Caenorhabditis elegans: one gene and its partner. The protein of the gene in region 2 interacts with the protein of the main gene of each other region in a pairwise test. Each region holds a gene or a part of one and is shown on either strand. Other genes may lie near its edges.

Region 1 (6,409 bases), on a different chromosome or scaffold from region 2:
ATCGAAACTATAAAGTTATTTTCAAAAGCAACGTATTCGCGTTTTCGTCCTCATTTTCAGTTTATATGGGAACTGTTCACAGTTTACAGTGCTGAAATAATCAAAAGTTATATTCAACGATTAAAACAAATTATTTCAAATTAAAGTCAAAAAGTTGCAACTTCTCAGTTTACAGCTATCAAAATTCTTGGAAGTCAACCATTAAGATTGTTGCTCTACATTTATTGAAAACCCCAAATTTTACAGAAAATTTTAAAGCCTATTTATGTGAAATGAAATGGTTTCTGAAATATTCGCCTGACAATTACAAAAATCTTTTGGGGAAAATTTTTGTTTAAAAATAGGAAGAGAAAAATAACTTCGTTTTTGTTTTGAAGGCTATATAGTAAATTGACATCTATGTATGTGAATTACTTCGTCTGACATTGAGAAAAGGTGAGTAAAATGGAATTGTAAATGAGTGATAAAAAGACAAGAATTCGATTTTTCTGTCCTGTCGGGTGTGGTCTGTTTTTCTAAAAGAATTCTAACAAATTTCAGGTTCCGTGAGCGCAATTCGCGAAATGCAATTTGCAACGGAAGGGAAGAACTGTTTATGATTCTGTTTTGGGATACAAGTGAAGAATCAGAAATGCCCTTGTTCCAGAGGCTAATATTATGACGTGGCACTCGAATATCAAACAATGATTAATTGTTCTTTTTGTCCTTTGATTTGAAGGTATTTCTTCGCTTTAAAAACATTTGATATGAATTTCAGATGAAATCAAGTGTGAATAAGTACAGTGCTCCACATCGCATCGTCAGATTTCTCGTAATTTGAATCGTTCGAGAGATATGATTTCTCGATATGCTTCCAATCCTGCGGCTTATGGCCCCAAAAAGTCTTCTGGTCGCCCACCACTTTTTTCTGATCGGGACAAGCGGAATATCGTTTGTCGAGCATCCAATTCAACAGTGACTTGCTCGAAAATAAAGAGCGAGATGAACCTGCCAGTGTATGTTGAGACCGTACGACGAGTTCTTTCGAAGTCCCAATTTATTAAAAGAAGAAAATTGAGAAAGGCTCCATGCGTCACCAAAAAACACCGCCAAAATCGTATCCAGTTTGCGGATGCGATTACAGATATGTGATGAGGCGCGGTTTGATACCGTTTATCCGTCGAAACAGGTCCAGAAAATACACTTACCAACAAGATGGAGCGCCTTGTCACCGCGCGCGTCGTACAATCAAGTGGATAAGTGACAGAGGGCTCCCTGTTCCCGACTCGCCTGCCTGCTCCCCGGACATAAACATAATTTAAAACGTTTGGGGATTCATGATGAGAAAGATTTACGATGGAAACAATAGCAATGTTAACGACCTCAAAAGAGCAATTCTTGACGCATGGCATAAAGTTGACCAAACTCTCCTGGACAATCTTTAACTTTTCATGGATTCACGCGTTTTTGATGTGATTAGTACAAGAGCTCATCCCGTGGATTATTAATCATCTCTTGTTCCTTATTTTTCTAAGTTTTCCTACTTTTCTACCACCTGGCCGTATCATTTTGTGGAGTTTTTTAAATAGTTTTTCATGAAAAAATGTTTTTTTTTCTTTTTTACGAACGCTTCGGGTATATTTCCATCACTTATCTCAAAGCTAGCCAGTACAACGAACATTTTCACATGAAACTATGTTTTGCTATCTTAACCCAGTTTTGAGTTATACCAAAATTTAGGGGTGGCCGTATCATTTTGTGGAGCACTGTATATAGATACGAACAAAAATTAATTTAAAAAAAAACATCAAGGAAAGTTTCATTAAACCGAATCATTGAATCGATGACTGCGAACTTTGAGTACTTGATGGTTCCTCCTCAATTCTAACAAATCGATTCCGTTGCTGGGTGTTGACGTATCTGGAAAAATATCTGATTAGCTTATATACAAGAAAAATTTTCAGAAAGAAATACTTTATTGCGCACGTTTTGTAGTGCTAAACTGATTTTTAAACGAAATTCTAAAATACCTTATGTCGAAATGCAGACCATCCTGGGTGCTGGAATCAATTGGACACAGCCATAATCCCCATCCAAACACTGATTGAAAATTATTATATTTCCCCATATTGTAGTCAGCTGCATTATCAAATCTTAGAAGAGCTGGTTTTGTTTGTTCGACAGTTGTCTCGTTCAATGAGATCAATTGATAATGGAATATGATAAGTTCACCGAGTGGATAGTAACCAAACACTCCGCCGACAATAAAACTGAACAAGTAGAACAAAAACTTTCCCAATTCATCGGTCCATTGTTGATTGATAAAATATCGAACAGCACCTTCTAGTGAAGTGAGCAAATACCAATAAACAAGAAAACTGGTGTAGATAATGTAGAGTAGAAAGTACTTGTAATTGACGTGTGTAACACACATGTTTATCCATGGACAGTGATGATCATACTTAATGCAACACTTCCCACATGAGCTACAATGTCGGGCACGATCCGGTTTGATATGTCCGCACTCGTAACAATACTTGAGCCTTCCCACTTGATCACATTCAGCGACGACTACTTTACAGTAAGTACACATCTCCTCCAAAATAGTATTTTGTTGTGCAAGCTGAAAACTTTGTTGGTGTATTATATAAAGTGTATTTAGCATCCATAAAATAAACAAATAATAATAAAAAACAAAACAATCAAGACAAGATTAAACCACTTATTTTGATTTTTTCACTTTACCTGTTCAGGTGTCGATTTCTCTACCACGTATCGATTTTTCTCCATCGGTGTGACTGCTTTCAATCTATCTTCAAGTTCTTTACTAGGTCGATATCTTTCTGGAACTCTGCCAACTCTCGTGAACAACGTTTTTGCAAGACTCCACATTGACATAACAAACAGAAATGATCCAACAATCAAATAAATGGTTGCTTGAATTGTTGACTGAACGTAATAACCAATTGTCACTGTCACGTACATATAAAGTCTGCAAAAGACCCAGTTAAATGATTCGCAAACAATCAAGAATGACTCACGACCACCAGAGCAAAATAAGTTGAATGAAAAGAAGTACATTGAGACATCTCGTCAAAATCCATCCAGTGATTTTATGTTTAGCGCGGTATTCTCGCACTGCTACGTAAATCTTTGAATACCATGACATTGGTTTTCACTTTTAAATTTCTTGTCTAAATCATATAAACTTTATTTGGTTCAAATCATGTTCAAAAGAACTTACCAAACGACTTCCAAATGCAGAAATGATTGAGAAATATTCAAAAATTGTAAAAAATGTACTGCTGGATTGCGTGAAGTTTTATTTCATTTACCGCAGGAGTAAAAAAATACCGTGGCATTTAGAAATAATGTTTTGTGAAAAAAATTTATGGGACTTTATTTGTTGCTGATTATCGAAGAAATTATTTGGAAGTTAGAAGTAAATTATTTCAAGCATTATTATTATTTATTGTGAAAAAAATGAGAAAATTGTGTCATATATACAGAGAACTGATGTCAAAGTTACGCATTCGATGTCTACTTTCTCTTGCAACACTGTCCATTTCCACATGGAGAATAGTTTTGCTGGCACGAGCAGGAGTTGACTGATTGTGTCTGGCATGGCATCTGGGCTGGTTGAGCAGCAGAACAGGATTGAGAGCATGATTGGGTGCAAGCTGGAGCACATTGTTGCATTGGTTGTTGCTGCTGAACGCATTGCTGTTGGCATGATTGCTGGCATTGTGGTTCACATTGTGCAGATTGGGAGACTGAAGCTTCCAGAATGATTGTGACAGCTTGTGGAGCAGCAGTAGTGGCAACTGGAGCTTGGCATGCAGATTGGCATTGCTGGCATTGTGGAGCAGATGGTTGCTGGCACTGTGGAGTACATTGTTGTTGGCACTGTTGAGTTTGTTGGCACGAAGTCTGACATTGTTGGCAAGCTGGTGCAGATTGCTGTTGACATTGTGGAGCACACTGTTGCTGACAAACTGGAGCAGCTTGTTGGCAGGTATTCTGGCACTGCTGGCACTGTGGAGCTGATGGTTGTTGGCATTGTGGAGCACACTGTTGTTGGCATTGTGGAACTGCTTGCTGGCAGGTGGTCTGGCATTGCTGGGTGCATTGCTGATTGCACTGTTGGGCTGGAACTTGTTGTTGAACACATTGTTGTTGGCATGATTGCTGGCATTGAGGAACACACTGAGCAGAGATTTCCATGTTAATCTTGATTATTTGTGGAGCGGCAGTAGTGGTTGGAGCACATTGTTGAACACATTGTTGCTGACATTGTGGCTGACATTGTTGAATTGGTTGAGTTTGAACACATTGCTGTTGGCACTGTTGTTGGCATTGTGGCACGCATTGAACTGCAGCTGGAGTCTGGACAACACAGGATTGTTCACAGGCTGGCATGCAGGATGGTTGACATTGAACTGGAGCTGGAGTAGTTGGAGTATAACAGGAAGAAGTCTGACAGCTTTGTTGGCATGTAGATTGACATTGACTAACAGATGGAGCAGATTGACATTGGTTCTGGCAAGACTGCTGACAAGCTGGGGCACATTGAGAAGCTTGAATTTGGTAGGTTTGTTGCTGAACTGGTTGGGCACATGAACAGGATTTCTGGACTGGAGCAGTGTTCTGACAGGAACAACTGTACTGTTGTGGTTGAGTATAGGTGGTTCGTTGGCAAGAGCAACTTGGTTGAACTCTTGGAGCACAGCCACAGGATTGGCGTTTATCGCGAATTGTTGTTGCCTGGAAATGATTTTTGTGAAATTTGACTGAAATCGTGGTCAATCGTGGTCGACTGAAATCGTGGAATATATAATCTTATGTCTGCAAGCAATGCTCAAGAAAAACAAATATTTGTTAAATTTGGGTACTTAGCCGATTTTTTTGGATCGCCGCTCAGCCCTGTTCAACAACTATTTAAAATGAACATTTGGCTCAACAATACTATTAGATGGCCATTATACCTCAATAAGGAAACAGCTTGAAACAAGAAGAGCTGCAATTGCGAAGAAGCGCATGATACGGTTCGAAAGGATTGGAACAGATGATTTTCTCTAGTTTCCAGGCCTTTTATACTCACACTGTATGGTTAACCAAAGAACATAAACCCTGAATTCCCGCCTATTTATCTTAATGTAAAAAATGATGCGGAGGAGATCAACACTTTGATGGAAGCTTAGTGAGCAAAATGATAAGTGCGCGAACAGGGAAAAAGTAGTTTTATTTATGTCGTAATGAGTGGTCTTGAAAGTCGATAAACTTAAAGTGTACTTGTGAAATCAAATGTTCATCTCAAAATGTAAAAGACAAATATTTACCAGCAGTACCTAAAAAGGTAAACGATAACTTTGGTACATATAGTTAAGCAGAAACTCGTTTCGGTCAAACACACACCGTATCAGCACATTCCATTCGACGGAACGCGCACCCAACCTTTTTTCAATCTTTGCAACTCTCCGTGCTCCCAAAAAATAGTGTGTAAAACCATGAGACGGCACACGTGTTCTTCGGATCATTTGCTATGCCTCCATTGCTATGTTTGCGCTCGTCATGGAGCCGGTTGATGGATAGAGTCTGATAAGTGGGAAGCAACTTTCCGGTATGTGTTCGATGGTTAGTGAAAAAGTGTAGGAGAAGGTTGGTATAAAAGTCTGAAAGGTTGACAAAAGGACATCAGTTGCCGTCTAGCAGCTCTTCAAGCATATTAACAATGCGCTTTATCGCAATTGCAGCTCTTATTGCTTCTAGCGTTCTACTTGCCGAAGTACGTTTCTTATCACTTACGAATCACTGTTGTAAAATACATTAATAATTATATTTATCTTACAATACCATATAATTTTCAGGCAACAACAATTCGCGATAAACGCCAATCCTGTGGCTGTGCTCCAAGAGTTCAACCAAGTTGCTCTTGCCAACGAACCACCTATACTCAACCACAACAGTACAGTTGTTCCTGTCAGAACACTGCTCCAGTCCAGAAATCCTGTTCATGTGCCCAACCAGTTCAGCAACAAACCTACCAAATTCAAGCTTCTCAATGTGCCCCAGCTTGTCAGCAGTCTTGCCAGAACCAATGTCAATCTGCTCCATCTGTTAGTCAATGTCAATCTACATGCCAACAAAGCTGTCAGACTTCTTCCTGTTATACTCCAACTACTCCAGCTCCAGTTCAATGTCAACCATCCTGCATGCCAGCCTGTGAACAATCCTGTGTTGTCCAGACTCCAGCTCCAGTTCAATGCGTGCCACAATGCCAACAACAGTGCCAACAGCAATGTGTTCAAACTCAACCAATTCAACAATGTCAGCCACAATGTCAGCAACAATGTGTTCAACAATGTGCTCCAACCACTACTGCCGCTCCACAAATAATCAAGATTAACATGGAAATCTCTGCTCAGTGTGT
Region 2 (7,375 bases):
CTGACTTGAACATGACTGTCTCATTCCAAATTGGATTTTGAGAGTTGTCCACGAGAAGCGTCTGCTTTGAGTATTGTGCAAACGAAATGCGAACAAATGCCCGAGACGAGTTCTTGACAACTGGCAGCAAATCGTTTCCCCACATGATATAGCATCTCAGTTGCCATTTTCCAGTTTGCATTTGATATTCGTAAACGCGAAATCTTGGATCTTCACTGTCCGGGCTGAAAGTAAGATCGTACAATGAACTTTTCAAAAAGGAGATACTTACTCTTTGTTCTCAACTTCTCGTACATATCGTCTACGTCTGATCCGATCGGTTCGGTCTTCCAAATCGTGGTATGGGCCTTCCTTCTTGCTGGGGGAGTACTAAAAATTAATATTTATGAAAAAAGCATCAAAATGCTAGTCCCCGATAAGCTTTAGAAGCTTGTCAGCAACTATTTTCACAGTTGCATTTAGATCAGCATTCTATCTATCTGTGATTATTCAAAATTCCAACTAACCTCCCAATTCTCATTTCCCATCGTTGTCCGAAAATGCTCAAAGTCCTCCAACTCCTTGTTATAGCCTTCATGCTTCCTTGGCCTCTTGATACAACGCTTTCTGAAGTTGTGGTGAACTTTTTCTTCTCGGTCTGTCAGGACTCCGCTTCCAAAAAAGACACCATTCGTCGAGTACACCCATCCTTTTTCGTCTCCATTGTTTCGAAACTTGTCTTGAGCCCAAGAGCCTACTTCCCATCCTTTCGCATGTTTGTCAAGATCCTTGGGTTTCAACTCGTCGGCGTAGCAATCCGTGTACTTAAAGTGTTTCCACGTTCCGTCTTCAGTTCTCTTCTGGATTTCAAAAGCCTTGTCATGAACCGTGTGTTGTCCAAGTTTCGGTACAAACATATGACGAGTATTCATCACAATCCAGTGACCAACAGCATTCCATCCATTTTCGAGAGGCACTTCATTCGTCTTCTCCCATTTCCCATCGTAAATATCAGCTTCATCTTTCCATTTCAATGCGAGTCCCTTCGTCTGCACTTCGTACATTTCCATGAAACGACGGATGTCTGCGGGTTGTACGTGCTCCTTCCATTTTGTGAGCTGATCTGTACGTCCAAACCACATCTTTGCATGGAGTACTGCGACGTGCTGAAAGTAATTTGTATTGTCATATGGAATTGAGCTAGTTTATTGAATTACCTCTCTTTTCCTGTTTCTCTGATCCACCAAAGTCGGCCATTGAATATTTATAGCACGGGTCCTCCCACACCATTCTCCTGATTGAGCTTCATCATCCGATTGGAAAATCTCCGAAATCGGGATTTTGGCGAAACCGATCAACTTCCCATGGGACATCATTTTGATGAGAACGGGTGGAATGGTCATTTGAACATCTTCTGCCAACTCAAGAGTCATCGATCGAATTTTTAGAAGCATTCGGAGCAGCTTCGCATCGACTTCTCCATCAGAATAATCTATACTGAAGGCTTCCTTCTCAAAATGCTCTCGCAGCTTCAAGATCTTTTCCTTCCGGTAGTCAAGGATATGGCGATCCAGTGCGTTGCTGCTAACGGGGTTGATGCGTCTGAAAATATATTTTAAATTTGTGAAAAGTCTTAGTGACTCACCCCAAATACTTGCTAGCCGAATCAATTTGCTGCTCCAAGCACTCCAAAGCTTCCATTCCAACTGACGAAACATGGTCGATTGCTTTGTTTCCAATGCGTCGAACCTCCCAAATCATCGTATCAAGCATATTCGTCATTTTCATGAGAACATTGCTCATTTCAATCCGATGCTCAATAACTTCCCACGGAGCATTGACTTCGGCAACTGGTCGGAGATTTCCCCATGGCATCGTGAAGTACTTGCATCCATCCCAGTTTGGCTCTGCTGGCAGTGTTGAGCTATTGCATGATCTGAACTCGTTGCTCGTGCTTCCAAATGAACCGATTGACATCATTATGCAGACTGGATCGGATGCGAATTGAGGATTGATCATGTTGAGGCCACTCATGGAACAGAAGCAGTTGTACCATTCGAGATTTTTCTGAAATTCACAAAAAAGTTTAAGCAATGTTCTACAGAAGTTCTCTTGCATGGCTTTGCAATTATGTTTAATAACCCTAATGTCTACAGTAATCAAACATTTATGGTAACTGTTACAGAATTTGAACACAAAATGCAATTTCAAAATACAGTAAGTCTATATCCTACAGTAACCGTATAACATAATCTACAGTATACCTATAATATAATCACCAATAATTACATGAAACATTCAATATTGTCTCCAATTTTCAATAACTTACACAAATCGATTCGGCTTCCATAATTGGGGAATGATCAAGATGCATGATCTGAGCATTAGCCTTCTCCATATACTCTACACAATCGATCGCAATGAACAAACGCCCAACAAATCTGAAAATTAAACAAATTAGTTTAGTCTTCAACTCTCCAAGCCTACCTGCTCCCATCCTGCTGGGATCCTCGCATTTTTCTTGAGAAGATGCTGAATCGAGTCACGCGTTCGCAATCGAATACATTGAGAAACGCAGGTCCAAAAGTCGGAAGGTATCCAGTCTCTCCTGGCTCGTAAATCATTTTCATTGGAAGAGTGGCTTTTCCTATGCACGTTTTGCCTCGTCCCTTTTTGTCGAACAATGAGAAAATAATCTGAAAATCAGTTATAAAAATATCTTCGGAAATTGAAGAAAATAAGAGATAGGCAGGCATGTAGGCATAGACTGTCTACCATGTCTCAGAGACGCGAAAAAATACGGTCTTAAAATCCAAACTCATACCTCTGAGATGACAGTTGGCCATTGAATTGGAAGATAGATCTCTTGCTCAAACTTCACTGATGCGATGTTTGCATCTTCATCAAGAAACGCAGATTCCATTGTTGTTTCGGTCTTGTGTGCTCCACACTGAACCATCACATAGAATCTTTGCTTCTTCTTGATTTTCCTCTCATTGATCATCTGTCGGATGAGCTGTTCCACGGAGAACACTCTGATCTGAAATGAAAAGTTATTAGTAATTAAGCATCTTCAAGTACCGTACCTTAAGAGTATAATCAATGAGATGTGCTCCACTCCAGATTTGCTCCTTCCCATCGTCATCAATCAGCGTTGGTGGTGACTCGTCGATCCGGTACACAGAGAGCGTCACCTTCAGGAATCCACAGTTCTCATAGGCGATATCGTCCGGTTCCTCGTCATCCATTCCAGGAAATCCCAGAGCGACCCATTTTGCAATGACAGATCTGTCGGGAGAGTGAATTACTTCCGAGAGGTAGCAGCTGAACTCTCCGACGCTTGATTCACCAAGTGCTGTAGGACGCACGAGCTGGAAAGTTACATATTTGGAAATTACAGAGAACATGCTTAATCACTGATAACGCTTCAGAGCAACCAAAGAAAAATATTCCAATGTTTAAAAGTTTACCCGAAGAGTCAAAACTTTGGCAGCAAGCTTCTCCAGTGGCTGGTTCTTTATTGTGTAGAGAATATTTTGTCGCCACTTTGGAATTGCATGAGTAACTGTTCTTGTCATTTTTGAATTTCCGTCAAAGATCGTTCGAACTCTTGCGGATCCTGTGCTGACATCCTTTGCCTCAATAATTCGTACAAGAACATTCCAGGTACATGGCTTGTCAGTGTCCTGCAGTTTCCGTTTTCCAAAGCTTTTTCCATCATCTGGCAGCAGCTCGATGTCAGATCCACCGTCGTCCGATAGCTCCTGAAATTTGTAAATTAAAAAAAATCAAAACGTTCTCTCATTAATCTTATACTCAGTAACAAAATTGTGGCAGCTCTAATAACTCAAATTATCAAACTCGATTAGAAGCCGAAAATCGATAATCCTAAGAAATAAATGATTGATTTGAATGAAACTAGAACTTCATTATCATCCACTACCTACAAAACCGATACCAGTAAAATCGATTTTTGGTTTAAAAGATAACAGTTTCAATAAATAACTAGCAAACTATTGCGAAATATTATTGCCACGTAGATCTAATATTAGATATTATAATAAATCGATACTACCAAACTATGTCAACAATCGATAAAATCACTGTGGAACTATTTCGTACTAAACAAACAAGGAAAGGTCCATCTTTGTTCTGATTCTAAACTAATATTCCGAAACTAACAGTCATCTCCGATGTTCCCGTGCTCTTTCCCGATTTGCTCTTTTTGCTGGATTTGCTCGTCTTGCTTGTATTCCTCGATTCGTTATCCGAATCGTCTTCATCCCGATCTCTCTCCGGGCCGGAATCCTGAAATATTGCAAAATTTAAAGGAATTTAATAAAAATAAGACACACCACATCACTGGATGAATCCCCTCGCTTAAACTTTTGCTTCACTTTCAGTAGCTTTTCCTTGACCGTCATGTCGATTTGGTGGAAATTGAAAGAAATAACTTGGTTCCCGTGAAATTTTTGCAAGGGGTGTTGGATGACGTGGCAATAAATGTGGCAAAGCTGTGAAGACAAGAGAAGCACAGGTCACGTGAGAAAAGATACGTGATTCAACTTTTTTCACGTAAAACTTTTTTGTTTTTTTTCTCACGTATTTATTTTTGTTTCATTATTTTTCTGATTTTTAATTGTCAGCCAAATTGTAGTACGAAATTGGAATTCTCACTAGAAAAAGATGAAATTATCATGGTAGTGGACTAGTACGGTAGGAGTACTGTATTTTTATGCAAGCGCGAGTTGGGCGGGGAAAGAGGCGCCCCGTCACGCCTCGATCGGTTTTTTTGAGATGTTGTCAAAGTTGTCACTGTCTATAAGGAGTCGGCTGCGATTTTCGTTTGCCGAATATCAGTTTTCCAAAAGTTTTAAAAAAGATTTTTTATAAGAAAAAACGTGGTTTTTGATTTTTTTTTTTTTCCGTTTTCTTTAGACATACTTTGGAAATGTTGTTGCTCAAAATATTCATTGAAACTTTCGGGTGTGCTTCCTGGGTGCTCACTTCCTAATTCCCTACATTCATAATTCCGGATGACTCCATGTCATTTCCGTCGGCTCACATCACCGAATCCTCCCGCCTGTCAAACAAACGTGAAAAGATTATGCAATTGACAAAAGACATGAGTATCTTCAAAGGGAAACAAAATGTGTCTCCTGCTGAGATATCATCATCTGGTACGAAATCGAATGAGCACACCCCCATTTTGACAGACGGCCATATGCCTTTTGCAGAAAGGAGTTGACCCCCCACGGGTACCTCTAAAAGGCATGAAGCATTGTTGATTGACGAGCCGATTAGCGAATATTATTGAGGAAAGCTTTTGGATTGAAACCAATGTTATGTAATATGAATGATTAAATACTTTATGATTGTTGAATTATTTGAAGTTTGGCGAAACTGTAGTTATTGAAATTTTTGCCAAATGTGTGGCATTTGGAAAACAAAGATTTAAGCAGCAGTGAGGTATTTTTAAATAAAAAAAATATATCTCTTCTTTGTCACTACTTTTTATGTTCGTAAAATGAATCCATCGTTGGTTTTTACAGATGATCTCAAAATTTTCTAAGGGTATGTTAGTAATATTTTTCAAAGTGAAGGGCCTTTGTGACAAACTTCTCGGCCATCCTGTTGGAGTCCTAAATATATTTATTTTTAAACATCAATCAGCAAACTCTTAACAACAAGCATGATTTTTTTGAACATTTAGAAAATTAGATAAAAATTTGGATTCTTTATTTGCAGAGTCTTAGCTCTTCAGTTCAACGTTCCAAATTTCAAAAACCAAAAAAAGCATCTCAATTGAACAATTGTTGGCATGTTGTACAACAAAAAGGTCGAGAGGTGTCTGAAGTGACACGTGTCTTCCTATAAATTGCACTTGATAGACTGTAATGGGTACTGAGATTGAAAACACCTGTTTTGAGGGATATGGACACTTGGTACATATATGACTACTACATTTTACAGTCTTTAGTGAGATAATGTGGACATATGTTTGTGAATAATATGATGTAACTTTGAGACGATTCAGATTATGAATTCCATTAAAAATTGCAGTGCAAACCTTCAAATAATTTGCAGTGTTGTGGAAAACGGTAAAAGCATTATAATCATATATGAATGTCCCTCTCAGCCTTTTTAATAATAATTATTAAAAATAGTGTAACTCTGAAGAGGATAAAAATTAAGGAAATTTGGTCGGGATATTTTTTGTTCTAGAACTGTATTTTAGATCTAAAAAAACAGGTTGGAAAAATCTCAATTAAACATTTTTTAATGTAAACTTTGGTCACTTTAAACTTCATGCAAGATGCTGTCAAATATTCTAATTTTTATTTCTAAGGTCTTATTTTTCAATTTATTCAGTTCCAACTGATCAAAAAATCATTTCATTATTTGTGTAGTTTGTGTTTTGTTTCATGTATCCGAGGTCCAAAGTATTTCCAATCACTTTTTAATTGAAAAATCCAGAGATTATCCGCTTATATTCACAAATGTTCAAATTGATATATTTGGAGCATTGAGCACAAATAAACCTACTATTTAGTCACTAGAAAATAGACAGACGGCGTTGAAATTAGGTATGATGTAACAGGTCATGAACTGTGTCACCTGTCCCATCTGCCTGCATGATTGAGCGAGCTTAAACGGTGAGAGTACTGTAGATGGCTTATTGACAGATGAACAAAATTTGAAACTTTTTGAATCTCAATTTTTGAGATATAGCCACAGGTTTCTGTGTTGATGGTTTTCCACAGTTGAGCTACAGTACTCAATTTCGAGAGAAGCATCTACATCTACAGTTTTTCATAATTTCAAAAAATTTCCTACTTGAAATAATTGTTTAATAAAAAGTTATGTATAAAAAGTAATAATTGTTATGTTTCTAAACAAAAATCCATGTTTTTAAATCCTCTAATTTTACAATTTTTCATTGACTAAATATCAAAACGTGTTGTAAACTCAACCATAACCGCCTCAGCCATTATATTTCTAAAATAACCTGTGTCCCTCTTGGGACCACCTACTGCGCATGTCTACCAGCTTGTTGGAGCAATTCTTGTGGTTCCGCCTCTTCGTGAGCTCCGACCAATCAGATCGTCTCATTAAGACCACGCCCAGTCTTGTTAAGCTCAACAGATTTTGTGTGTAGTTCACAGCTTGATTCATTTCTGATAGAATATGATAACTACCCCGAATATTAGTTTAACACCAACTGTTGCTCCTCCAGTAGATTTCCCCATAATTGGCAATTGTGGTGAGTTATTGAGTTTAATAGGTTCTTGATATTTCGTTAATATTTTTTGGTTTTGGAGATTGTGTCAAAATATTGTATTTTTCCTATTAGTCTTGCACCCCCATTGCTCCAAAGTGGCAGCTCTTATTTTGG

What was found. Proteins that work in one complex are often made in the same cells at the same time.
Region 1: the proteins of fer-1 (region 2) and spe-10 interact in a two-hybrid assay, tested with the Caenorhabditis elegans proteins (one study listed by BioGRID).

The regions. Positions count from the first base shown.
Region 1 is NC_003283.11:10,381,087-10,387,495, reverse strand, and holds spe-10 (Palmitoyltransferase spe-10), read right to left. Parts: upstream 3,247-6,409; 5' UTR 3,224-3,246; intron 3,174-3,223; 5' UTR 3,149-3,173; coding exon 3,021-3,148; intron 2,972-3,020; coding exon 2,725-2,971; intron 2,603-2,724; coding exon 2,010-2,602; intron 1,900-2,009; coding exon 1,812-1,899; 3' UTR 1,756-1,811; downstream 1-1,755. Other genes in the region: pqn-2 (Prion-like-(Q/N-rich)-domain-bearing protein), read right to left, coding at 3,520-4,743, 4,965-5,018; abu-1 (Activated in Blocked Unfolded protein response), read left to right, coding at 5,711-5,764, 5,847-6,409. UniProt on the Caenorhabditis elegans protein: Involved in spermatogenesis, specifically in the morphogenesis of fibrous body-membranous organelles (FB-MO), which are Golgi-derived organelles used for transporting sperm-specific components, in spermatocytes and in their localization into budding spermatids.
Region 2 is NC_003279.8:8,626,782-8,634,156, forward strand, and holds the start of fer-1 (Sperm vesicle fusion protein fer-1), read right to left. Parts: upstream 4,422-7,375; 5' UTR 4,404-4,421; coding exon 4,335-4,403; intron 4,288-4,334; coding exon 4,162-4,287; intron 3,744-4,161; coding exon 3,450-3,743; intron 3,351-3,449; coding exon 3,066-3,350; exon of another isoform or gene 3,020-3,065; coding exon 2,804-3,019; intron 2,676-2,803; coding exon 2,467-2,675; intron 2,421-2,466; coding exon 2,309-2,420; intron 2,047-2,308; coding exon 1,625-2,046; intron 1,582-1,624; coding exon 1,197-1,581; intron 1,146-1,196; coding exon 507-1,145; intron 370-506; coding exon 272-369; intron 225-271; coding exon 1-224. Other genes in the region: ces-1 (C2H2-type domain-containing protein), read left to right, coding at 7,168-7,243. UniProt on the Caenorhabditis elegans protein: Required for the fusion of the membranous organelles (MOs) with the plasma membrane, a process essential in spermiogenesis.